Linked DNA regions of Drosophila melanogaster. The gene in region 1 interacts genetically with each later gene. Each region holds a gene or a part of one and is shown in the gene's direction. Other genes may lie near its edges. The genes, in order: png, Pp1-87B, mts and CycA.

Region 1 (3,563 bases):
TAACAATTACCAGAACAATATGGAATAATTATTTATTTTAGTAAATAATTACTATAGTCAATAATTGTTAGTTGTGCAAACTGCACTTTACACTTTGTGTTTAACTTTCACTATACTGTTGTAGTTTTTAGAACTTGCTATTCGTAGCTTGAAAGAAACACGTCTCCACCCGAAGACTGTGGAATGCCGAACGCGCGCTTTAATGCTATCTAAAATTGACTACGGACTGCCAATCTTCGGTTGGTGTGCTAAATCACACTTAAAAAAGCTACAAGTCCCATATCACGGAGCGGTCCGTCGCGCCATTCACGCATTTCCCACATCTCCAGTAGCGTGCACATTGGCAGAATCGGGTCTCCCGAGTATCCAATCACGCGTAGAAGAAACTACATTGATGCTTATCCCGAAGCTGTACACCACGTCAAACTGCCTGCTAACCAAAGACTTCGGAGCCATATTTAAACAAAAACGGAAATTCAAGTGCATATCCACCCTAAGACGTTGCGCCAACTACATCAAGCTACTTGACCTTCCCCTGCCTAAGCCCAGGAGGCCCTTCAAATCGCCAGCACTTTGGGGTTCCAAACAGCCTAACATAAACCTTCAAATATACAATGCTGCCAAAAAGGATACAGGTCGCCTAGAATACCAAAAACGTTTTATGAGCGCACAAGAAGATCTTGGTGTGAAAAACTGGATCTACACCGATGGTTCTAAAGTCACCGGCGCAACTACTTTTGCGGTTGTTGACTCTAACCGTAAAATAATTGCAGGAGGTAGGCTTCCGTCCTACAACTCCATATTTACAGCCGAAGCTTTCGCCATTCTCAAAGCATGCCAATTCGCTTCCAAAAACGCTGGAAAATCTGTTATCTGCACAGACAGCCTCTCCTCTCTTTCCGCTATACGCAACTGGAACCATAATGACCCCACAACACAAGAAGTTAGGCACATTCTAAGTTCTCACCCAAAAAAAATCACCTTACTCTGGGTTCCCAGTCATCAAGGTATTCATGGGAATGAACTTGCTGACAAAGCCGCCCAAGAGATGAGGCTTACACCATCAATCCTGTTCACTCCGTTTAACTCCAAGGACCTAAAAAGTCGAATCAAGTTATACCTCAAAGAAAAGAAACTCTCCGAATGGGCACTCTTCATGCACAGGTACCAGTCTATCAATCCGAATTGCATCATGTTCAAGCCACCAACGAACGTACATAAACGGGAATGCGCGACCTTTATCCGTCTACGCATCGGGCACACCCAATCCACACATCAACACTTACTGATGAGATCGGCGCGACCAACATGCCAACTATGCGGGGACGAGCTCACCGTTGACCATATTCTCAACGCCTGCAGTCAATTGCACTCAATTAGATCTCACTTATTTGGTACACATAGTCTCTCGAATTGTTTAAGTATCCCATCCTGTGAAAATATCTCAAAAATTTACAAATTTGTCCAAAAAGCTAAGTTTATTATATAAAGCAATTAACCCATAAGTCTCGAGTCGAAGGCCCCCGTAGCTAGTACTCATTAAATTTAATTAGGTTTAGTATTGTATACTATATTTAATTTTGTTAAATAAAATAAATAAAAATTTAGGATAGTCATACTTTTCACATGGATGGACTTTTTGAATGGGGTTAGTTCACGATGCGTTAGTTTGATTAATTAACCAGACTCTAATAACTTACTTTCATTGAGCACTGTTGCTGCTGGCCAGATGAGCAATTTTCATATGGGGTTTCCGAAGTTCCGAGTTTTCGGCTTTTTCCGATGGAACTGTGCATCTCTTGTTTCGAAGCAATCGATAGATGGCGCGCTTGCGCTTTTGCTGGCTAACTGTACATCAAGGCGGGATCGCGGATTACGCTTTCGGAACTCTGCGCACTCGAGATGGAACTGGGTGACTCTAAGCTGCGTGCGGTAAGGGTGCTGGGCCAGGGCACCTTTGGCCGGGTCTTCCTCTGCCACCAAAACGAGGTGCGCGGACAGCCGGAGAGGAAGGTGTGCGTGAAGCGGATCATCGTCCGGAATCCGAAGACAGAGTTGGGATTGATCAAGGAGGAGGTGTACATCATCTCGCAGCTGCGCCACCCGCACATCGTTGAGTTCCTGCGCTCCTTTAGCCACGCGGGCACTGTGAACATCGTGATGGAGTACGTGCCCAACGGCACCTTGAGGGATGTCATCCAGCAGCTGCCGTCAGGCACCGGGGGAGTCAATCAGGAGCGGCTGATGGGCTACTTCCGCGACATGGTAGTGGGACTCGAGTACCTGCACATCCGCTGCGTCATCCACCGAGACATCAAGCCCGAGAACATGCTCCTCGACGCCAACGACCGCGTCAAGATCGCCGACTTTGGGATCGCGAACGTTCATGCGCCCAGCACTCAACTGCAGGCGGGCATGGGCACGCCCATGTACATGGCCCCGGAGGCGATGTCCAGCCAGGGCAAGGTGGATTTCAAGTCGGACGTGTGGTCACTGGGGCTAGTCCTCTACGAGCTGTGCCTCGGACGCAGCCCCTTCGCCGCGTTTCTCGACAAGAACGCCACCCCTGCCCTACTGCACACCGTAGTCCAGGCGCTGGTCCGCCCCCGGCTCGACTGCCAGCTCATCCGGCGTCTCTACGATCCCGTGTGGGCGCAAGTTTGCGAGCTGATGGTCGTTTACGAGCAGGAGCGCCGCATCTGCCTACCAGACATCTTCCACCTCGACGCCGGCATGACTGTGACCCTCTACAAGCATTACTTCAGCTACAGCTACTAACGGAAGCCAATGGTCAGCTCACCAGCACGAGGAGACCTCAACAAATATTTCATTGTACTTAAGAACTAGGCTAGCTTAAGCGATAAATTAAGGTGTGTGCTGTGCTTTGTGTGCGCCTGTGCTTTTGCCAGGGGATCTGTCAGCTATAAACAGTATATAATGTATATTCCAAAACAGTCTCGCTCAATGTCATTAACGTAGTCTTTAATTTACATTTGTTCACCTATTGTACAGTAACATTAATCCTCTAAAGCTTCTGGCCCTGCTGCTGCAGCTGGATCTTACGCTTCAGACTCTTTACCAGGGCGTTCTGCTCCAGCTGCTGCTTACTCCTCTTGGGGGCTACCTGCTCATCCCCATCCGCATCGCCGTTTGCAGCGCCGCCCTCCCCCTGCTCCTTTCTGCGCTTTAACTTCTCGCCGATGATCTGCTGCATGCCCTTGGTGGGCTTGTAATGGGAGTGGGTGGGATCGATGTTGTACTCGTGCGACTTGTAAACGGCACTGAAGCGATTATCATTCAGGTTTACCTGGAAGTCGTCGTCCAGCTTCTCCGCATTCTGCGGCTGATTTTTCGATTTCTTTAACTTCTGACGACGCTTTCGCTTTGAACCGCTCGCTTCTTGCTCCTCCTTCTTGAGGATTTTGGTCAGACTGAAGTGTTGCTTCTCGTCGCGCCCGTCGCCATCGTCCAGCAGTAGCTCAAGCTCCTTCTCTTGCCGCTTCGCCTCGACGTCCTCCTCTCCATCGTCCTTTCCCTTCTTTTTCTTTTTCTTCTTGTCCTGC
Region 2 (5,058 bases), on another chromosome or scaffold:
TTATACTATTCCCAAGTATGGGTTCATCCTCACCAATATTGTCTGCCAATTCCTTGCCTACCAAGTCCAAGAAATCCTCCGCTGTCAGGCCGCTGGGTTCACTGACTTTAATGGCCATATCTGCCAATTGCAACCTGTAACCCTTATTGAGATTCCTAGCTGCCACAATAGATTTGCCCAGTTTATTTCGGCAGGGCAGCTCGCACGGCAAAATGGTTTTAGACTCAACGTGCTGAAGAGCTGCCTCTAGTTCCTCATCTCCATTTAACTTTTTAACTATTTCTTGTGGAGGCATGGGAACTGAAGAGAGTTTGAAGTTGGTGATGGCTGTAGTCAGAGCTTTTAATTCTTGCGGCTCTAGGGAGCAGCGATGATCGGAGCCCTTCTGACTCTTGTCCAGCGTAAAGTGGCGCTCCACTATGCGTGCTCCCAGCAAGACGGCGGCCTGGCTAATGATCACTCCCAGCTCATGACCCGAGTACCCAATTGCCACATTGGGAAAGCGTGTCCTTAAGACGGATATCAACTGCAAGCTGCAATCTTTTGGGTCAGTTGGGTACGATGAAACGCAGTGCATTAGAGCGTAGTCCTCTTTTCCTGACTCCCGCATAGTTTGCACAATCCTCTCCACAGTTTGCATAGTCTGCATTCCGGTGGAGATCACCAGGGGCAAGTTCAAATTGGCGGCCTTTTTGAGAAGCGGAAAGTTGTTTGCGTCTCCGGAACCAATTTTGATGAAGGGAACATTTAGAGCAGAAAGGAACTCCAACGATCTCTGTTTAAAATAGCATATACACACATTAATAACTATTTAAGCAAGAAACAAGGGAAAAAAGGAATTGTTAGTAGTAGTAATTGGTTAACAATTAATTAATATCAACCTCATCCATGGCGGAAGCCGTAAAGTCCACATTTAACTCCTTGCAGTGGGCCTGCAGCTGGAGATACTGATCTTTGGAGAACTCCAGGTACTCCTTGTGCTCCCCGTACGTTTTTCCCCAGGCGTGATCACTGATATATTCGCGATCTAGAGCGGATCTCGTAAACTTTGCTGGCAAATCCGATTTTTGAAACTTGACGCAGTGGCAACCGGCTTTTTTGGCCTCCCATATCATTTTCTTCGCTGTTTCCACACAACCTTGGTGATTTTGGCCAATTTCCGCTATAATATAGACGGAATCAACTAATTTTCCGCTTATGATATCGTTTAACAGCATTTTGATTAAATTGAAACCCGCCTATTTAACAGTTAATTAAATGATTAGCGGGCGTAGGCAGGAAATGCATAGAGTATCGAATTATCGATAACAAGACATGAGCACATTTCATACAAAATTTTTACATAGTGTGATTGTTAATATATCTATCAATATATTATTTAGTTTTGTGAGAATTTAAGGGAAATTTGGCATTTTAAATCATAACTCATGTGGAAGTTATTCCAATAAGGAAAATGAATTAACCTATGTTCTGTAAACGAATATTCTTATTGGCTTATTTGAATTTCCAATGTATTTAAATATCCCCTTGTTACCGGTATATCGAATAGCCTCGCCAAATGCATCAGTCTCCCATCTCTTTTCCACAGTAAGTCATGCCAGGCGTGCCTGAGTGCAAGCGGGATGGCTAGTGTCCCCCTGATCAGGCTGCCACACCGCTGAAATAGAGTAACTGGACGCCATGCGTTTAATCGATTACTAACAGCAGTTTCGAGCCACTATAGGGTCGAGAAGACCCGTTTCGAATGAAAATATAAAAGTAGAGCTATTGCGGAACTCTTGCAATGGATTGGAAATGTCCTTAATGTAATAAGAGTAATATTACAGCAACTTCGTTATCGATTATGCACTATATTTGCATGTTATCGATTAGATAAGATGGCGTCTATTATCTGGCCATATCCGCGACTTCCGGCAGTGTGGCAACATCAGCTAGAAGCACACTCGCCATCCCGCCCGCACTCACGCAACAGCATACGAAGAAATTTTCATACTTGTTAGCTGTGAAAAGTATTTAGCAGAAATAGATTTCGGAAATTAAAGATTTCGAGGCTATTTCGGCGCTACCAACGATCGTTCGCGGTAACCTCGACACCCAACAGCAGCACTAGTGCACCAGATCCACACTTTCGCACGCAAACATGGGCGACGTGATGAATATCGACAGCATAATATCGCGACTTCTCGAGGTGCGTGGGGCACGGCCAGGTAAAAACGTACAGCTCTCGGAGGGCGAGATCCGGGGACTTTGCTTGAAGTCGCGCGAGATCTTCCTGTCGCAGCCCATTCTGCTCGAGCTAGAGGCACCGTTGAAGATCTGCGGCGACATCCATGGACAGTACTACGATCTGTTGCGTCTGTTCGAGTACGGCGGCTTTCCGCCGGAATCGAATTACCTGTTCCTCGGCGACTACGTCGATCGCGGCAAGCAATCGCTGGAGACGATCTGCCTGCTGCTCGCCTACAAGATCAAATACTCGGAGAATTTCTTCCTGCTGCGCGGCAACCACGAATGCGCCAGCATTAATCGCATATACGGATTCTACGACGAATGCAAGCGTCGCTACAGCATCAAGTTGTGGAAGACATTCACGGACTGCTTCAACTGCCTGCCAGTGGCGGCCATTGTCGACGAGAAGATCTTCTGCTGCCACGGTGGTCTCAGTCCCGATTTGACCTCCATGGAGCAGATCCGTCGCATTATGCGGCCAACCGATGTGCCCGACCAGGGACTGCTGTGCGATCTCCTGTGGTCCGATCCCGATAAGGATACCATGGGCTGGGGCGAAAACGACCGCGGCGTTAGCTTCACCTTCGGTGCCGAGGTGGTGGCCAAGTTTTTGCAGAAGCACGAGTTCGATCTCATCTGCCGAGCCCATCAAGTCGTCGAGGATGGGTACGAGTTCTTTGCCAAACGCATGCTGGTCACCCTGTTCTCGGCGCCCAACTACTGCGGCGAGTTCGACAATGCCGGCGCCATGATGTCCGTGGACGATACGCTGATGTGCTCGTTCCAAATCCTCAAGCCAGCCGACAAGCGTAAAAAGTAATATCACACAACTGCAGCACCACGAGCAGTCTTTTTCTATCTAAAACAGATCAATAAGAAATCCAAACAAGATACAAAAGATAAACACGACAAAAACAACCACAAACCCAACCACACAATCAACCAGAAATAAAATCCTTTGAAACAACACATCAAATGATGCATGAAACGTAAGTATGGGCTGCTGACGCAGAGTAACAAACTAGTGAATCACACTCTCACCCCAACCTTATCTCTGTTTTTGGTCACTTTTATCATCGGCAGCCGGGGCGAGTCGAAATCCACAAGAAATTGCACCATTAATTTGGTATGGAATAGCAGCGCCACGATCAAAGGACATCCCCAGAGACATCCCTTCCAGCAGATGACTGCAGTTTTCCCCTTCCACCCCACACCCATTGAGATTTAAATCGCAATTACAAACACATTGACAAATACCATGATTAAAAGCCACATATTTATTTGTAATAGCCCCCGTATATATATATATATATGTATATCTACCGACCGACCAACCATTCACCCACGCACACACATGTACACACATTTGAACACCAGCGCTTTTATAGGTTTTGTCCAAAATTTAAACACTAGGTTAATCAACTGACCGTTCGAGCAGAGCACCAAGCGCATAACCATGCAGATTAGATGGAAACGGAGCAGCAGAGGAGCGACTGGACGCCAGTCGGTCACAAAGCATACAGATGTGGGGGCCCTGTAGTGCTCGTTGGCCTTAAGAGTATAGAGCAAGTGAAAACAAAACAAGAAACAAAAAATCGAAGAGGGGAAATCGTTGAACCGAGGAGGTGGAGGCGAATGCTTGCCAAGAAGTATAAAGAGGAATTATAAGCACTAAGTTTCGACCTTGAATCAGTTTTTTTTTTGTTCGTCCACAATGCAGTCCGACCGAATGGACCAGCCAGCCAGCCAGCCAGAGAAATATCTGCAAGAAAATCAGCGAAATATATTAGTTTGTCCCTAAAACTCCTTACCATTCATCAGCTATTCAAACGTCCGCTTCCCGTCATTTTAAGGATGTGTTTTTTAAAAATTAACTATTATTAATATGTATTATCAATAATCCTTTGTATTAATAAACAAATGATATAAAACGTGTATGAATTATGAAACTGATTTCAATAAACACATTTGAAAAATCCATAATACGCTGCATGCGCTCATGCTTTATTTCGCTTTATTTACATGTAAATTCCGGAAAATACTTAACATTTCTTCTAAATGAATGCGTTCTAAATGGGATGTTTTTGTTTTTACGTTTGGTGTGTGCTGGCACGTGCTGCTGTCATCTGAGATCTACTCACTGGAGCCACTGGCTTCAGCTTGGACGGTTGGGCTTGGCTGTGCGGCTTCATCGGTGGTCACCACCGAGTTCCCCTCAATCTGGCAGGCCTCCACAGCGGCAGTTATCTCCGCAACGTCCGCCGAACTTTCGTTAGGTTTCTCCAGCTCAGTCTCGCCGTTCTCCTGCTGCTGCTGCTGCTGCTGCTGCTCCGCCGCCTCAGTGGACTCGGCCACGGTCTGTGGCGCCTCCGTTGCGACCACTACTTCACTTGAAGCCACTGGCTGATGACCCTGGAGCACGTCGGGATTGATGCCGTTGATGATGGCGCGCAGACGCTGGATCTCCTCGTTGGCCAGCTGCAGATCCTGCTGCAGGCGCTCGTACTTGTCGTGCTGGTGGCGCACCACGCCGATGTGGTTACGGATGTAGTCCATGGGATTCTCGGGCCGCTCCTTGATCACGCGTATGAAGAGCTTGGTCAGCGAGTCCAGGACGCTGCCGCGCTCTAGATAGCGCCGGATCTCGTCGCGCTTCGGGTCAATGGGCTGTGTCATTGCGGGAGACTCTTGTTTAGCCAATGGCAATCAGTTTTTGGACAAAAGCTCACCTTAAAGGACATCTTTGCAAAATGGAGATGTGCGGTGTGGCTGTGGGCGCAACTTCGAAAAATGCCAAAGTCAAGCCCCCTTGAAGCCAGGGCTGCGTGC
Region 3 (7,898 bases), on another chromosome or scaffold:
AGGTTCTTGCCGTCATTGAGGTCCCACAGCAGGGCCTTGGAGTCCTTGCCACCTGAGGTGCACAGGGAGCCATCGGGCGAGACGGTCACCGTGTTCAGGTAGCCGTTGTGGCCGTGGTGGTTGTTCTTCAACTTGCAGTTAGCCAAGTTCCAGACCTTGACGGTGCGATCCCAGCCGCAGGACACGATGATCGGGTTGGAGTGGTTGGGCGAGAAGCGCACGCACGACACCCAGTCGGTGTGGCCATCCTCCTGGATGGTGAACTTGCACTCAGCCAGGGTGTTCCACAGCTTGATGGTCTTGTCCCGAGAGCCGGACACGATCTGACGGTTATCGGCCGAGAAGGCAACCGACAAAACGTCCTAGAAAGCGAACAAGCATTTGACGATTAGCTAATGGTATTGGTATGGTTTTCATAAAAATAATATATTTACTGGATATTTCACTGACCAACTGAATGGGCATAGTCCCAACTCAATTAGTCAGTGAACGGAATCCAGATGGGTTTCTTGCAACTAATTAGGAATCAATGGGTATCAGAGATTGTTTGCCTACTTACGATGGAGCTTCAAGCAATTTATAGCCGAGACTCGAGCGAAGGGTGAAGCGTACGTCGTACAGATGTCAACCAGTAATTCTGCCTCGCATAGGCGCAATATATATTTTTTCGATTTGTACGCGGCAAAGGCGGGCCTAACCTCACTCCTAACCTTACATTTAGCCTTTTGCCGGTACAGATCGGTTCAAAATCTCAGTTCCCTAAACGAACTAAATGCAATTGGAATCTTATCCCACCTTAGTGTGTCCCTCGAAGCGACGGGTGGTCTTGCCGGCGGCCAAATCCCACAGGCGAAGGGTCTGATCCCAGGATCCGGACAGGGCGTAGTTGCCATCGGAGGAGAGCACCACGTCGCTGATGAAGTGCGAGTGTCCGTAGAGACGCTTCTGGGGGTAGCCGTAGTTGGTGTCCTCGTCGCGGGTCAGCTTCCACACGATCAGGGTCTTGTCTGCGAATCGAGATGGTGGCCATTAATATACGCACGTGCTACCAGATAAATCCGAAGAATTTCAATGGCGATTACTTACCACGGGAGGCCGAAATTATGGTGTCGGGATCCTTGGGGTTGGTGGCGATCTGGGTGACCCATCCATTGTGGCCAATGAGGGTACCGCGCAATTGCAGGGTCTCGGACATCTTGAGTTTATATTATTTGCTACGGAGCGCGAAGGAAACACGTCCAAAGGCGCTGCAAGCTGGCAGAAAAAGAGGCAGTTCCGGTTCCAGTGCTCGCTAAGATGCCAACTGTCAGCGAGCGTTCAGTGTTGGACAGGACAAAACTATCGATAGTTTGAATTTTCTGTTACAAATAATACGTGTAAAATGTAACGTCAAATAATAATATCAAAAACTTTAAAATATATATAAAAAAAATAAATACTTTTACACCAAGTATTAATATTATTATATCTAAAGAACCCCAGAAATATTGAAGTTTAGTTTTAAAACAAATTGTGCTATTATTTAAGAAATAATCGACGCTAATGCACATCTATGAAAAGACTACTAAAGGATTTTAAAACAATCCCAATATCTTGTTGCCCAAATGCCTATGTACATACTTTTATTTTGTCACTATCACGTAATAATGTAAAAAAAACGGTGAGCGTTGATCCCACTTTATTTTCTAGTTTTACTTGGTAACTGTTGGCCAAATAGTAAGGATACCATCCACAAGTTTTAGTCGGTATTTTTGTAGAAATGTCAAGCATGCATCGCTAATCGATACACACACACACAGCGCGTTCTTAAGCGTTTCGCGGCAATCGGTCACACCGAGGGCAGTCTTTCCCTTCGTATATCGTGTCGTCGTCTCTTTTGTGAACAAAAAATACGAAGAAAATCGCCCAAATCGAGTTGATTCGATTGGCAATTGTGTGGAGATAAACGAGTGAATACGCGGTTGGCAATCGAACGCAACAGTAGTTGCTAATTTTCCTGCACCCCTGAGTTATAATAAAAGCCGTCAAAATTGAATCGACAAAGATTGACGAGACTTTTTCTTCCACCACAACTGCGATGGAGGATAAAGCAACAACAAAAGATCTTGATCAATGGATTGAGCAGTTGAACGAATGCAATCAGTTGACAGAGACACAAGTTCGCACCCTCTGCGACAAGGTAAGGCCCGGTCCTTGCCCATTTTCCCCATGCGAATTAGGAGATGTTATAAAAATAATTTTCGTCATTGCATGCGAGCGAGCGATTTTTTTTTGCAAATGGTGCTCCAACGCTGCGTGTCTCTGGCCCTCTCGCTCTTTCCAATGGGGAGAGGCGCTGAGCGGAGAGCGCGAGAGCATGATTCATGTCGTGCCCTCTTGCTCGCACAGTAGCGGCGGCTTGCGTCGCCATATTGGAATATTGGTAAATTCCAACAGCCAAGCGCCGCATTGCCGCGCACAAGTGCGAGCGGGACAACGGGACGGGCAAGTGCGTGCGTGAATGCGACAGCTAGAACAGCGCTTTGGTCTAATGGGCTAAACCTGGGCAAAAAGAGATATTTCTTTTTGTATTATTGTACAATTTGATTGTTTAACTAAAGTGCATTGTGCGTGTTTAATGTTGTTGTTATTGTGTCCACCGGAAACTGAGCACCCCCGCTCCGTGCAACCTCATGCGCGTTTTGTCGTTGCTGAGTAAATATTACTTAATGTTTTTGTGCGTCGGTGTGTGCGCGCCCCTAGAATATGTATCTATGTACCGTCGTATCTCAATTCTAGAATAATGCACTTGCATTGGTGTTTGTGTTCCTTTTTTTATGACCAACCATGTTCAATTAAACACTTTTGATATCAATTGTTTTTAATTTGCCGATTTTACCGTTCATCAGGCGCGTCGCGCACACAAACAAACAGACAAGCAAAAAGAGTGCAAGAGAGGGAGAGAAAAAGAGAGGGTGAACAGATAACGATTCATTGATTTAGGAGTAAGTGGGGTTATGTTTGCGTCACCCAAATATTTGTCAGTGTTCCCATTAGAATCTTGAATCTCCGTTCTCCCTCCGAGAAGAACGTTCTTCGCTCTTCTCGGGTGCGTCTTCTGCGGCCTCTCTCCATCCTTCCCGTTGCTACGAAAAGAAAAGCGGAGAGTACGCGGAGAGAGCACAAGCTGCATCAGTGTTTGTGCATGCATCTGTATGGGTGCGCTGGCCTCGTCATGAGTTCAAAAATTATTTTTCTTTTTTTTTTTTTTTCGATTTCTGGCCAAGCGGAAGCAACAGCCTCCAAGGTAATGCTGTGCATATGGCAAAAAATCTAATTGGCTCACGCACAAATCGCTCATTTGCGCCGCCGGATTCTACCCCCGGAACTTGTTGTCATGTCCCATTTCGTCAGCTGATAAATATAAGAATTCGCAAAGAACACGGCGGAATGGTCAAAATAAATGTGCAATTTTTGTTTGCTCATTTTGGCACATTTATGTTTGTAAAAACCGGTTTTTTTGATGCTGTATATTGACGCCCATCGGGAATTTTTGAATCGACCTTCATATTTTATTTTACTAAAGACGATAGAATACTTTCCAGAATCGTGAATTTGTTATGTTTATACGGACAACTTTTTATCGTACGTTCATCTTATCTCAACTTATTAAAAAGCTTTGCTTCCTTTGTTTTGATTTTCATACAGCTTATATTAGCAACTTAAACTTGTTTGCAACTGACGCAAAATTCGATGAGAAAATAGTTGAGGTTCTTCGCTTGTTGACCAAATCTTGACGGATAACCTTGGCCTTTGACAAGGTTTTATCATCCGCACATGCGGATCACTTTCGGTTTTCTCAGTACTTTCTGTTTCGCAGATATTCTGTCATGTCATTCACCATTCACCGAATTATGGCAGGTGAAAAAATAGAACATCAAAGTTTCCATATTACTTTCATTTGGTTAACTATTTACACACAAACGTAACAAAAATGTTTTGTAATTTCCGGAAATTTTGCTACATGTTTATGTTTTTCTTATAGGAAGTAGCAATGTTTAGGTACACAGTTTTATAGGGTTTTGCGGGAAGCTATTTTCAGAATTACCCAAGAGATTGAGTTTTGATGCCATTAAAATTTCTTGTGGGATGTTTAAAGAGAACAAGTGATATTTATTTCCCTCGATTCTCTGTAAAAAAACGCATGCACTTATCCAATATATTTGTTTTAATTTCTCTTCTAGTTACAAGCTATTTTTAGAGTACACTTTGAGTGTTGGCGTTGAGTCATTAAGTATAGTGAATAATGTACAAAGTACTAATCGTTTTATTTATCTTTTCTGACCCTGGAAACGATTTGGGCTAGATTATGTTAATCAGTATTTTAATATTGGTATTCAAAGTTGTTTATTCGGTTATTCGAATAGGGAGGTAACATTAAAACGTATCTCCCTAAAAATATCCATAAATAAATTGCTGATTGGTCTACTGTTTCCATTTCTTTACAGGCCAAGGAGATTCTCTCCAAGGAGTCCAATGTGCAGGAGGTAAAATGCCCGGTGACAGTGTGCGGAGATGTCCACGGTCAGTTTCACGACCTCATGGAGCTCTTCCGGATAGGCGGCAAGTCTCCGGACACCAACTACCTGTTCATGGGCGACTACGTGGACCGTGGATACTACTCCGTGGAGACCGTGACCCTTCTGGTGGCCCTGAAGGTTCGCTATCGCGAGCGCATCACCATCCTGCGCGGTAACCACGAGTCGCGCCAGATCACACAGGTGTACGGCTTCTACGACGAGTGCCTGCGCAAGTATGGCAATGCCAACGTTTGGAAGTACTTCACGGATCTGTTCGACTACTTGCCACTGACGGCACTCGTCGACGGGCAGATCTTCTGCCTGCACGGAGGCCTCAGTCCCTCGATCGACAGTCTGGATCACATTCGGGCCCTCGATCGCTTGCAGGAGGTTCCGCACGAGGGTCCCATGTGCGATCTGCTCTGGTCCGATCCCGATGACAGGGGTGGCTGGGGAATCTCGCCTCGTGGCGCCGGTTACACCTTTGGCCAGGTGAGTGTTGTCTGCATGTTGGCTATTTCTCAATAAAATTCGGAGCTGATTTGCCTAGCTTGGATACTTGGAAATTTATTCTTTAATCACATTGTAAAATTGTTAAGTGAAATACATCTGAAGACCCGATTAAAACTAAGCTGAACAAAAATTGTCTGCTCAAAAGCATGCAAATATATTCTAGATAAATTTTTTATTGATCTTAATAGGAAATTTTATCGGGGCATGCACTTGATGAAAATCAATAATCAGTAATCGAAGTCTACTGCTGATATAGGCCCAACTGATAACGCAATCAATGGAAAGAGCTTTCGTTATAAATTGTTTTGACATTTCAAACCGTCAACTACAAAACAAATTTTAACTATCCAAATCGAATTTCATTGAGAAAGAGCCAATTACTTCTATAAGCATTTTTACTAATATTTCCATTTTATTTGAAGGATATTTCGGAAACCTTTAACAACACAAACGGCCTGACACTGGTGTCGCGCGCCCATCAGCTGGTGATGGAGGGCTACAACTGGTGTCACGATCGCAATGTGGTCACAATATTCTCAGCGCCAAACTATTGCTACCGCTGTGGCAACCAAGCGGCTCTTATGGAACTGGATGATTCACTTAAATTTTCATTGTGAGTGGCAATTCGCTTGAGCTGCCTTTAAATGCGGCATGTCTGACTAATCTAATCGTTTGCATTTATTTTAGCCTACAATTTGATCCAGCACCCAGGCGCGGGGAGCCTCATGTTACGCGAAGAACACCCGATTATTTCCTTTAAGCTGGATTGCTCGCACCTACGCAGCTTACATTTACACATATTACATCGCATTATAACAACAAGAAGAACCGAAACAATATATAATATATACAAATCCAACCAGCAGCAACAAAATAAACAAAATGGCAAGTGCTGTCGAAAAAAAAACTACCATAAAAAACAACCCAAAACTAAAAACCTCGATGCATTTGTTTTGTGGAGGTCGTTTTAAACAGAGAGCAGTGGAAGAGATATTGTATAAACAAAGAAAAAAAAAGTAACCATAACAGTCGAGAACACAAAAATGCATTGAACAGTTATTGTTGTTGGCCACAGTTTAAAAGAAAAGGAAAAAACCGGAAATGTCGCCAGCGGGGGCGGCAGGCAGAAAATTTATATCAAAGATAAAGGGGAGGAGCAGAAGGAGAAGCAGTATACAGAAATGATACAATCCAATCGAACCTACCAACCAACCCAGAAACCAAGCAACAAAACCGCAAGCAACAAGAAGAACTACAACTACTTAGCTAAATTTGTTAATTTATAAAAATAACGAACTAAGCGTCGCAGCAGAAAGCCAGGGAGCAGGAGTGATGGATGGATGGACTCATGGATTATGACGTGATGTGTGTGTGGGCGGAAGGGGCTGACAAAGGACTAAACGGGACGAAAGGACGAACGCCAGGACGTAGCAGCATAAGCAAGCAGCAGCGGTAGCAGCAGCAGAAGCAGAAGCAGACGACCCACGACCGACAAAGCAGGAAGATAACGATGAAGCAGCAGCAAAAAAGTAGGAGCAGTATGTGGCAGGAGCAGCAGCGAACGCCATTGCGATGGGGGAAGCGCGGGGCGGGCCAGCGATTTATATAAAAACAAAAATTATAAAAAAGAAAATAAGGAAATACAACAAATTTAATATTACTGATTAAAATTAAATAAAAAAAAGCGAATAAAACTATTAAAAAACAAACAAAAAAGCAAAGAAAAATGATTAAAAAAAATTCATTATCAATTAAGTTCATATGTAACTTTAATAATAATAAAAGAAAGAAAAAAAAAACAAACAAACAATTCCCACCTGCCGACGAAGAGAGCCATCGAAGAGCGCGCGTTCAAGGGAGAAAGTCCTTTAAGAGAGACCCATGCGAACGATTTTGGTTTTTCGTTCTGGCAATGACGCTCCCTTTTGGCCTGCGGGCTCCTTTGGTAGTGTGTATGCGAACATGGCCAAGTTAACACGAGGCCACCACGACGAGCGGAAGTCGAGCCTCAAACGGGCCACCTAATTGAGACCACAAAGGAGGCGATATGGGTGTGGGGGAGGTGATATATGGATGGATGGCAGAGGGCAGATAGAAGGGACGGAGGTCGTGGTGCCAGCCAACCAATGATGCCCAAGTCAAAATCTAAATCAGAGCCGGGCTGCCTTTGATTCCCAGCGAAAGCGAAAGCAAAAATCTTGCCAACTTTGTATAAATTTTTGCATATTTTAGCAGCCGCCCACACGAACTGTCAAAAGTCATGTACAGTGGTCGCTCTCTATTGTTTCTGTTTACAAAGTATTTTGGAAACTATTTCGATTGGATTTGATGTTCCTGATAATTTAGTTGGTTATTTAACTTTAGCATACGAATGAAAAGTATATTAAGAGCAAGAAAGTAAACGATATATAAATAATAAACATTTGGCAATAGTAGAAACCCTAGAATATATGGATTATTCTGAGATAAGCAGTTCGTGCACCGCCAGTTGGCACTGTATCCACATGAGTTTTGGTCTGGATGAAAATCTAAATTTGAGAACATGCTGGATCGAGGATGGGGACTCTCAAGTGCCCAAGAACTTGGCGAGCAAACAACCATACCCATACGTACACCTACCGAGACTTGTCATCTATCATGCCCCAACAAACCCGAAACCAGAACAGGAGCTCCACAGGATGCTGGGGGGAGGTAATTGTCGCCCTGGCTGCTGTGGAGAGGCCATGGAGTTGGGGCTGGATTTTCAGTTGTAAAAGAGGGGAGCGTGGAGGGGGGGGGGTTCAGTTGGAGGCCCTGGAGCAGATTGTATTTGTCGTGCAGGCAGCG
Region 4 (8,039 bases), on another chromosome or scaffold:
AAGCTTTAAGTTTGTACAGTCACAGAAAAATTAAAATCTATTTGCACGAATCATCTGTTGATTGGAGCCTTAATCTTCCGGTTCCGAAGGGCAAGAGGAACATTCAGTTCATTAACGGCTATTTAAAGAGTCCCATATTGATGAACAAAGATACTAATGAATTAGATTAATTACAAACGAACAGCATTTTTTGTTAGTTAATAAAAAAACGTTTGACTTTCGCCAAATATTGCCTTACTATATTGGTAATTATTATTTGACCCTGTAAGGTATTTTATGTATATTTCCAGAGCTGCTGGGGCCAACGATATTATACAATTGTGTAACTGCTAGTCGGTTGTCCTGCTACCTGGTCTCCAGGACATCGAGATCGCAAAGGTCAGCATTTGTGTGCAGGATCAGAATGTTGGTTAGCTCATTGTGTTCGTACTTCTTTGGGTTCCTAACTGATTTAGTTTTTAGGCCGGCAGTTGCGAAATGTCTCGTGCAAAACAATGCAAAATCCGATACACCTTTTCTTTATTTTCTTAGGGAGGCGCAGCTGCTCTAGAAAACATACTCTTCCGTTCACAAAATAATCGTGGCAAGAGTCATACATACATACATGTATGTACAATGCTGAATTAAGTCAAAAACAATACATATTTAATAGTTATGACAAATATTTAAGCCACCACGTTATGTTGTTATATTCTTAAACTTAAAAGGGTTAAGAAATCAGGATACATATTTTTTAAGAAGATTAGAAATCAAAACAATTACCATAACTGTTAACAAATTCACCTATTATTTATTATAATGAATGTTATATTTGTATTTTCTATAAATATCTCACAGCCCCTCCCATTAGAAATTCATAGGGAAGACGTATGGCGTATTTCGTTATATCTTTCTAATCGTGAAAGTCATCCGAATTGATAAATATATATACTTTTGTATTTACACTAACATATTTTTTATAAATGGGTAGCATCGTTAGGCGTATTGAAAAGAAAAAGTTTCGCTTAACTTTTTTTGGGTTTTCCACTGACAGCCAAATAATAATAATCGCAGTAGCCGAAATAAAGCTCTTTAAAAAGTTAATTAGAGAGTTGCTGCTCTTAAATTTAACGCGGTGGTTGTTGTTAATTGTGTACTTTCTGTTGCATGCAGTTCATAATTTGTTCAAAACTTCGAGCGGCCACTTTGTTTGAAAGGACTTTCGAAAAGGGGAAAAGTTTTTTTTCCTGTTTCGATTTATTTCTGGGACAGAAACGATTTTTGGAGCCACTCGAGACCGAAAGTCCAAAAGCCTAGCCATTTTTTTTAATTGTAACCTAAACATTTTTCCAAGTGTCCTAATACGTCGATTATTTAAACATTTCATCAAAAACATTACGCTTTCTATTTAATTATATTTTGATAAACAGTTGTTTAATTGATTTTTGTCAAGTTCGCTTTGCAGTGAATTCTTAATCTTAATCAAAGCAACAGTAATAACAACTTAAGCGATTACCGTGGACATAATATATGGATTATATATATGGATATAATACATATATATTCGATTAACTTCAAAACAATGCTTACAAACCCATGAAGAACTTATTCCAAACCCTTTTTATAAACCTTTAATATGTATTATTGGTTTGATCTCTAAAGCTTAGAACTAAATAAATATGCACTCATTTTTAAAAACTATGCAAAAACAATGGACTTCGGCAAAAATAAAAATTAACGTTATACACATTTTTAAATTTTGCGCACTGCTGGAGTTGCCAGTCCTAAAAAACAAACTTCTGACATATATGGCCACACTGTCGGCAAATGTCGATAGACGCCACGACCTATCGATAGCTGGACAGTGTCATCTCTAACATTTACGACGTGTTGACCGGGAAAAAATCAAAAGAAGCCAGCAATTGCTTTTAAACCACGAACCGCTGAACAAGTACGGAGTTTGTAAAATACTTAATATTAGCTAAGTCCGTGCGAGCGTAGCCAAACAAGGAAACTAATTCCAACGCTGCCGTGACACAAACTTCCGTACGAAATTGAAAGTCAAATGAATTCTGTACAAAACTGTGTGTGTGCGTGTAATTCAAGCGTCAATTTGTCGATGATAAAATTTGCCTGCGCCTAATGTACACATGTCTGCGTCTTCGTTGAGCATATGAGCCTGTGAATGTGTGCGTATCGGTGTGAGCGTCGAGCATAAGAAAGCAGCACAAAACAACAACAACGGCAGCAGCAGTAACAACAACAGCAAGAAGGCAACGACGCTAAGAGAAAGAGAGAAGGAAGGGAAGAGCAGAGCATAATCGGACTCCATTTTACAAGGCGAAAAAAGGAGTAGGAAAGAGCGCACCATGGCCAGTTTCCAGATCCACCAAGACATGAGCAACAAGGAGAATCCGGGCATTAAGATTCCGGCCGGAGTGAAGAACACCAAGCAGCCGCTGGCCGTAATTGGGGGAAAAGCGGAGAAAAATGCGCTTGCGCCGCGGGCCAATTTCGCCGTGCTCAATGGCAACAACAATGTGCCGCGTCCGGCCGGGAAAGTTGTAAGTACCGTTGCCGATTTCCCGTACATCCAGTGCCTAATTCCAATGCAGCTGCCTTTTTATATTTTTATGGTGGTGGGATCGTCACACCACTGCGACCGTGCGCATGTGTGAGATCTCCTAGTGGTGGTGGTGGTTTTCTCTCCCTTACCTCTCCCCTACCATCCCATCCTTTTCACTTCTCCATCTTACGTTACTCTCTTCTTAGAACGACCAATGCACTTACTTGCGCCTAACCTAGAACCTTAACTAACCTAGAAAAAGACACAGGCCTTGCAATTACGCGCCTTTTTGATGATTTGCAACAACAAAGCGAAGCAAGGAGGGCAAAAGCAATTGCGACATGCAACGCACACATGCGTATAGGTGCACACATACACACACACACGAGCAATACGGGAAGCCAGGGAAAGGCGCGCAACTTAAAGTTGGATCGATTTATGGGGGGGGATAATCATTTTATTTCTTTTTTGCTTACTATATTAAGGATGCATATGTAAAAGGAATTATCTTTGTGTTTTTACTTTTATAATCCCACTGCAATATTACCTAATATAAAATTATTACCTAATATAGTAAGTTGACCATATTGTTGAATTTGTCTTCTTCGTCTTCTGTTCCTTCCAGCAGGTCTTCCGTGACGTCAGAAATCTTAATGTTGATGAGAATGTGGAGTACGGCGCCAAGAAATCGAATGTGGTGCCCGTGGTGGAGCAATTCAAGACCTTCTCCGTGTATGAGGACAACAACGATACCCAGGTTGCGCCATCCGGCAAATCCCTGGCCTCCCTAGTCGACAAAGAGAACCATGACGTGAAATTGTAAGTTTCCATCTGTCACTTGGTAAGCCGCAAACAAACTTTTGTTTGTTTTTTTTTTCACTCCATTCAGCGGTGCTGGGCAGAAGGAGCTGGTAGACTACGATCTGGATTCAACACCCATGTCCGTGACGGATGTTCAGTCCCCCATGTCCGTGGACCGCTCCATTCTCGGTGTCATACAGTCCAGTGATATCAGCGTGGGCACTGAAACGGGAGTCTCGCCAACTGGAAGAGTCAAGGAGCTTCCGCCGCGCAACGATCGCCAGCGGTTCCTGGAAGTGGTTCAGTACCAGATGGACATTCTGGAATATTTCCGGGAGAGCGAGGTAAGCTAAACCAGGGACATAAACATAGGCTTCAATATGATATTATTAGATGACTTCCTCACAAAAATATTTCAAACTCACAAACTCGCTTTCATCGCGTAATCATTGTCAAAGACAATGATATTTTTTAACTAGTAACTGAAGTGGACAACTTTTATCAGGTCGAGTTTTCCTTGATTATCTTCCAGGGTATTGCAGTCATGTTTTCTGGCATAAATTTGGAATTTTTTCCCAAGGTATCTTGCGTTTTCAATGTGTTACTACTTACTTGGCCATGTGCATTGTACTTTTCTGTGCAGACGCAGGCAGACGTAATTTCTTAGGGGAAGTCGGACCCTGTCGCACCCTCCGTTGGCATTCCCTTCACGCAACGCTGCCTCTTTATGGGTTCATGGGTACACTTATTCCCGCTCGCGGGCACATGTTTGTTGGGCGGGAAGCGAAACGCTTGTCTGTCTGCGTCCGTCTCATCCTTTGTCGTTGTTGTTGACTCTCTTTTTCTCATTCGTCCAAAGTCGTAGAACACTCGGGGTACCAATGGAATTCGACTTGCAGAGGGAGGTTGACTACTATTGTAGTTTGTTTCCTACGTTAGTAAATAAAAGATTAAAAATTAAAATAAGTTTAAAAACTAAAAAAAAAATTAAAACCAAAAAAGTTTTAAAATTGATAAAGAATTTAAAAAACTAGAAAACCAAAACAAATAAAAAAAATTTAAAAATATTTTAAAATCGATAGTTAAATTACAAAACTCGAAAACAACATTAAATAATACAAAACAACAACACAAGGATTAGGTTTTGTCCAGAATGGGCGTATTCTTTATTTTCCCTTGATATTTCAGTTTTTACTAGAGATGGGTTTTTGTCTTTTTTTTTTTTTAAATTTTTAAATATTTGAAATGCTTTGTTTCCAACATGAACATTATAATTTCGTCGTGAAGATTCCCAACAAAGATTGTATTTTTAAAATAGTACAATGTTCTGGACGCCTATGGAAAGTTGCTGCACAAGAAAGTGAGGCAGCTTTCTAATCGCATCCAGCTCATTATTCTCGAATCGTCTTGGTTGGGAACTTCAATACAATCCCACTAACGTGAGTTCTTGTTGAACTGATCGTAAAAGTCATCGGAGACGGCATTGGTTAGGCCCACAAGGGCTTCCTTGCGCTGGCGATCCTGCTCCACGGCCAACTTGGAATTCGCCCGCATCAGCTCATCGAATTCCGCCTTACGTCGGCGATCATCCTCGATTTGGTGAAGGACCAGGGTGCGGTCCATATTAATGGAGTATTGCTCCCACTGTTTGTCCATCATCTGGGCCTCCGTCTTGCGCTGAATAGACAAACGAAGCTGCTGATCTTGTCCAAGACGAAACACGCGAAGTTCTTCGGGCGTCATGCCGCGATACATGAAGGCAATCTTCTTGTTCGGATCGGTGCGCGATTGAGCCACATCCGGATTTTCAGTTAGCATATCGCTGGAGAGCATGTTATAGATCTCGGCCATGTCATCCTCGTACTTTTCACGCTTTTCCCTTTCGCGGTCCAATTGCTTCTGCTTGGCCATGTTGATATTGAACTGACGCACTCGCTGGATGACTTGGTTGCGCATCTGGTGATCAGACTTGGCCATCTCCTGCAGATGCTTGTCTCTGCAACCAACGTTGTCCATCAACACATTATCGGCCTGCTTGCGAGCATCCTCCGCCCTCTTACGCTCCTGCACTTGCTGATCCAGCCAGGCTCTTTGCTGCTCCCGCTGCCGCTGCTTTCTGTCAGAGTTATAGAGGTCCTCGCCTTGAAAGATCTGGGCACTGGACACGCCCAGCGAAATGTCATTGTCGGCGACTCTTGTTGGACGTGCCTTCTTCAAGAAATTCGGATCATTTAGGTCGAATTCGCGGCGCTGCTCCTTGCGCTGATAGCGGCAGCGATAATAGTTAAGATCCGAGTCCACCACACGCTGTTTTTTCTCCAACTCCATTTCCTGGGCCAGGATCAGACGCTTCTGCAGCTGCTCCTGTTCTTCAAATTTCTTGTCGCACTCCATCTGGGCGGTTCGCTGCTTCTTTTTCTCAAGTATTTGGCGATCCAGCATTTCTAGGTCGAGCTGTGAATAGGAATATTCGGCAATGAAGCTCACCCAGTCTGCAGATGCATACTTACCCCGTAAAGACGCTGTTTGGCATTAAAAATGCGCCGCTTCCGCTCATCTTCGTACTGCTCCCGCTTCTGCAGCTTCATCGCCTCGTCGAGATCCTGCTTGGTGCATATACCGATTTTGAGCGTCATTGTGCCGGAGTTAGTTATAAAAGATGTTCAACTGTATTCGAGGTCGATATGTCTGTCTCTTCTTGTTAGTAGGATGTGGATATATGCCTGAGTTGACTTTGTTTGCCCGGTTGCTGGGTGCTTTGTTTATTGTTTGCCTCTACTACTACCTCTGTAACCTACTAGTTACAGACTATTTACATATATCTATAATAATTTCATGGGAGTTAACTGCCTTAATATAAAACAAATGCTGATGTATGTACATATATTCATGTCAATCGAATTCTTTAATTTTTGCAGCTCGAGTCGCTTGACGGTTCCAATAATCGTTAAAGCGACCATAAAATAATCACCTAATGTACATATTGCCCATATATATGTACATATATGTAGGTGTTTGGCAAAGAAATTTAAGTTCGAACTGGGAATTTCGATGCGACTCACGTACTACGAAATAACCAATAAATAAATAAAAATCGGTTAACTCCCTCCCCCAGCTGTTGTTTGCCACTTCTCCTATGGTATTTATACGCTTGATTTGATGACTGTACGGCTTTTTCTCCCGTGAAATTTGTACATTTTTGACACCTTCTTAAGATGAAACTGGGAACGGGTAGTTGGTTGCCAGATTAGAGTGTAGAAAAGGCATAAGCTATATATATGCGAATCCTAACCTAAAGTATTAAAAGTTTGGCTTAGTAATTTTTGTTAGGCCGGGTAATCTAATCGGTTTCTAATCATTTGTTTGCATGTGTTTGCATCTTCCAGAAGAAACATCGCCCCAAGCCACTCTATATGCGCAGACAGAAGGACATTAGCCACAATATGCGCTCCATCCTTATTGATTGGCTGGTTGAGGTTTCCGAGGAGTACAAACTGGACACGGAGACGCTCTATCTCTCGGTCTTTTATCTAGATCGATTTTTGAGCCAAATGGCGGTGGTGCGCTCCAAGTTACAGCTGGTGGGCACGGCAGCTATGTATATTGCCGCGTAAGTATTCTTGATAGTCCGGTAATAATGGTGTGTGTATTCATGGGGTTTATTTTTTTATTTTTCAGAAAATACGAGGAAATCTATCCCCCAGAGGTCGGTGAGTTTGTCTTCCTCACCGACGACAGTTACACCAAGGCGCAGGTGCTACGCATGGAGCAGGTTATCTTGAAGATTCTCTCCTTCGATCTGTGCACACCGACTGCTTACGTCTTCATCAACACCTATGCTGTACTTTGCGACATGCCTGAGAAGCTGAAGTACATGACGCTGGTAAGCTATTGCCAATACAAAAGAAAAAAGAAACAAAGCCGAAACTTAACTTAATGTTTACCTGACACAGTATATTTCCGAGTTGTCGCTCATGGAGGGAGAAACGTACTTGCAATATTTGCCATCACTTATGTCATCCGCTTCAGTCGCACTGGCGCGTCACATTTTGGGCATGGAGATGTGGACGCCAAGGCTGGAGGAGATCACGACTTACAAGCTGGAGGACCTAAAAACGGTTGTGTTGCATCTGTGTCACACCCACAAAACGGCAAAGGAGCTCAACACGCAGGCCATGCGGGAAAAGTACAATAGAGACACGTAAGTCGCAAACACTAGATAGCCGAAGAATGAGCCCGTGTTGACCAAATGTATTTCTTAACAGTTACAAGAAGGTGGCTATGATGGAATCCGTTGAGATGAGCAAGGACGACTTCGATCAGCTCTGTGAGGCTTACAATTGCAAGCAGAAAGAGGATGAGCACCAGCAGCCGGATATTAATACTAAATCGAACGTGAATTTGTTTTATAAGTTTTAAGTGTTTTGAGCCGCTGTCATGGCCAAATTGTATATTAGTTTAGTGTTTCCATGTAACATTATGTAGTTTTAGTTATAAGTGTACACAATGGATCAATTGCAGTTCGGTCGCAGTCAGCCAGTCGTATAAAAGCTTCGCATTGGTTGGCCGATTGACAAGCTCCCGTTGCAAGTGCCGGACAATTTTATATGTAAGCCATATAAAAGATAGTTGCCAAAATATACGCGCTTAACAACATTCGCGTCTGTCCACGGTGAGAGCTTGTCATGCCAAG

The links.
Region 2: of png (region 1) and Pp1-87B, changing one suppresses a phenotype caused by changing the other (phenotypic suppression), as found in Drosophila melanogaster (one study listed by BioGRID).
Region 3: of png (region 1) and mts, changing one suppresses a phenotype caused by changing the other (phenotypic suppression), as found in Drosophila melanogaster (one study listed by BioGRID).
Region 4: of png (region 1) and CycA, changing one enhances a phenotype caused by changing the other (phenotypic enhancement), as found in Drosophila melanogaster (one study listed by BioGRID).

Annotation. Positions count from the first base shown.
Region 1 is NC_004354.4:1,355,873-1,359,435, reverse strand, and holds png (pan gu), read left to right. Parts: upstream 1-1,834; 5' UTR 1,835-1,902; coding exon 1,903-2,778; 3' UTR 2,779-2,948; downstream 2,949-3,563. Other genes in the region: CG11417 (uncharacterized protein), read right to left, coding at 3,026-3,563.
Region 2 is NT_033777.3:12,422,771-12,427,828, reverse strand, and holds Pp1-87B (protein phosphatase 1 at 87B), read left to right. Parts: upstream 1-1,911; 5' UTR 1,912-2,140; coding exon 2,141-3,049; 3' UTR 3,050-3,218; intron 3,219-3,312; 3' UTR 3,313-4,208; downstream 4,209-5,058. Other genes in the region: NANS (N-acetylneuraminic acid synthase), read right to left, coding at 1-775, 882-1,217; CG17202 (uncharacterized protein), read right to left, coding at 4,363-4,896, 4,959-4,970. UniProt on the Drosophila melanogaster protein: Is essential for the regulation of mitotic chromosomal segregation as well as regulation of chromatin condensation during interphase.
Region 3 is NT_033779.5:7,825,975-7,833,872, forward strand, and holds mts (microtubule star), read left to right. Parts: upstream 1-1,675; 5' UTR 1,676-2,077; coding exon 2,078-2,179; intron 2,180-4,487; coding exon 4,488-5,051; intron 5,052-5,494; coding exon 5,495-5,685; intron 5,686-5,759; coding exon 5,760-5,832; 3' UTR 5,833-7,602; downstream 7,603-7,898. Other genes in the region: Rack1 (receptor of activated protein kinase C 1), read right to left, coding at 1-362, 796-1,007, 1,087-1,195.
Region 4 is NT_037436.4:11,827,378-11,835,416, reverse strand, and holds the start of CycA (cyclin A), read left to right. Parts: upstream 1-1,838; 5' UTR 1,839-2,348; coding exon 2,349-2,543; intron 2,544-3,170; coding exon 3,171-3,364; intron 3,365-3,434; coding exon 3,435-3,690; intron 3,691-4,572; exon of another isoform or gene 4,573-4,780; coding exon of another isoform or gene 4,781-5,800; intron 5,801-5,856; coding exon of another isoform or gene 5,857-5,982; exon of another isoform or gene 5,983-6,168; intron 6,169-6,227; exon of another isoform or gene 6,228-6,387; intron 6,388-6,732; coding exon 6,733-6,956; intron 6,957-7,024; coding exon 7,025-7,229; intron 7,230-7,299; coding exon 7,300-7,547; intron 7,548-7,611; coding exon 7,612-7,765; 3' UTR 7,766-8,039. Other genes in the region: CG43064 (uncharacterized protein), read left to right, coding at 1-170; CG7264 (uncharacterized protein), read right to left, coding at 4,781-5,800, 5,857-5,982. UniProt on the Drosophila melanogaster protein: Essential for the control of the cell cycle at the G2/M (mitosis) transition. Interacts with the Cdk1 and Cdk2 protein kinases to form MPF. G2/M cyclins accumulate steadily during G2 and are abruptly destroyed at mitosis.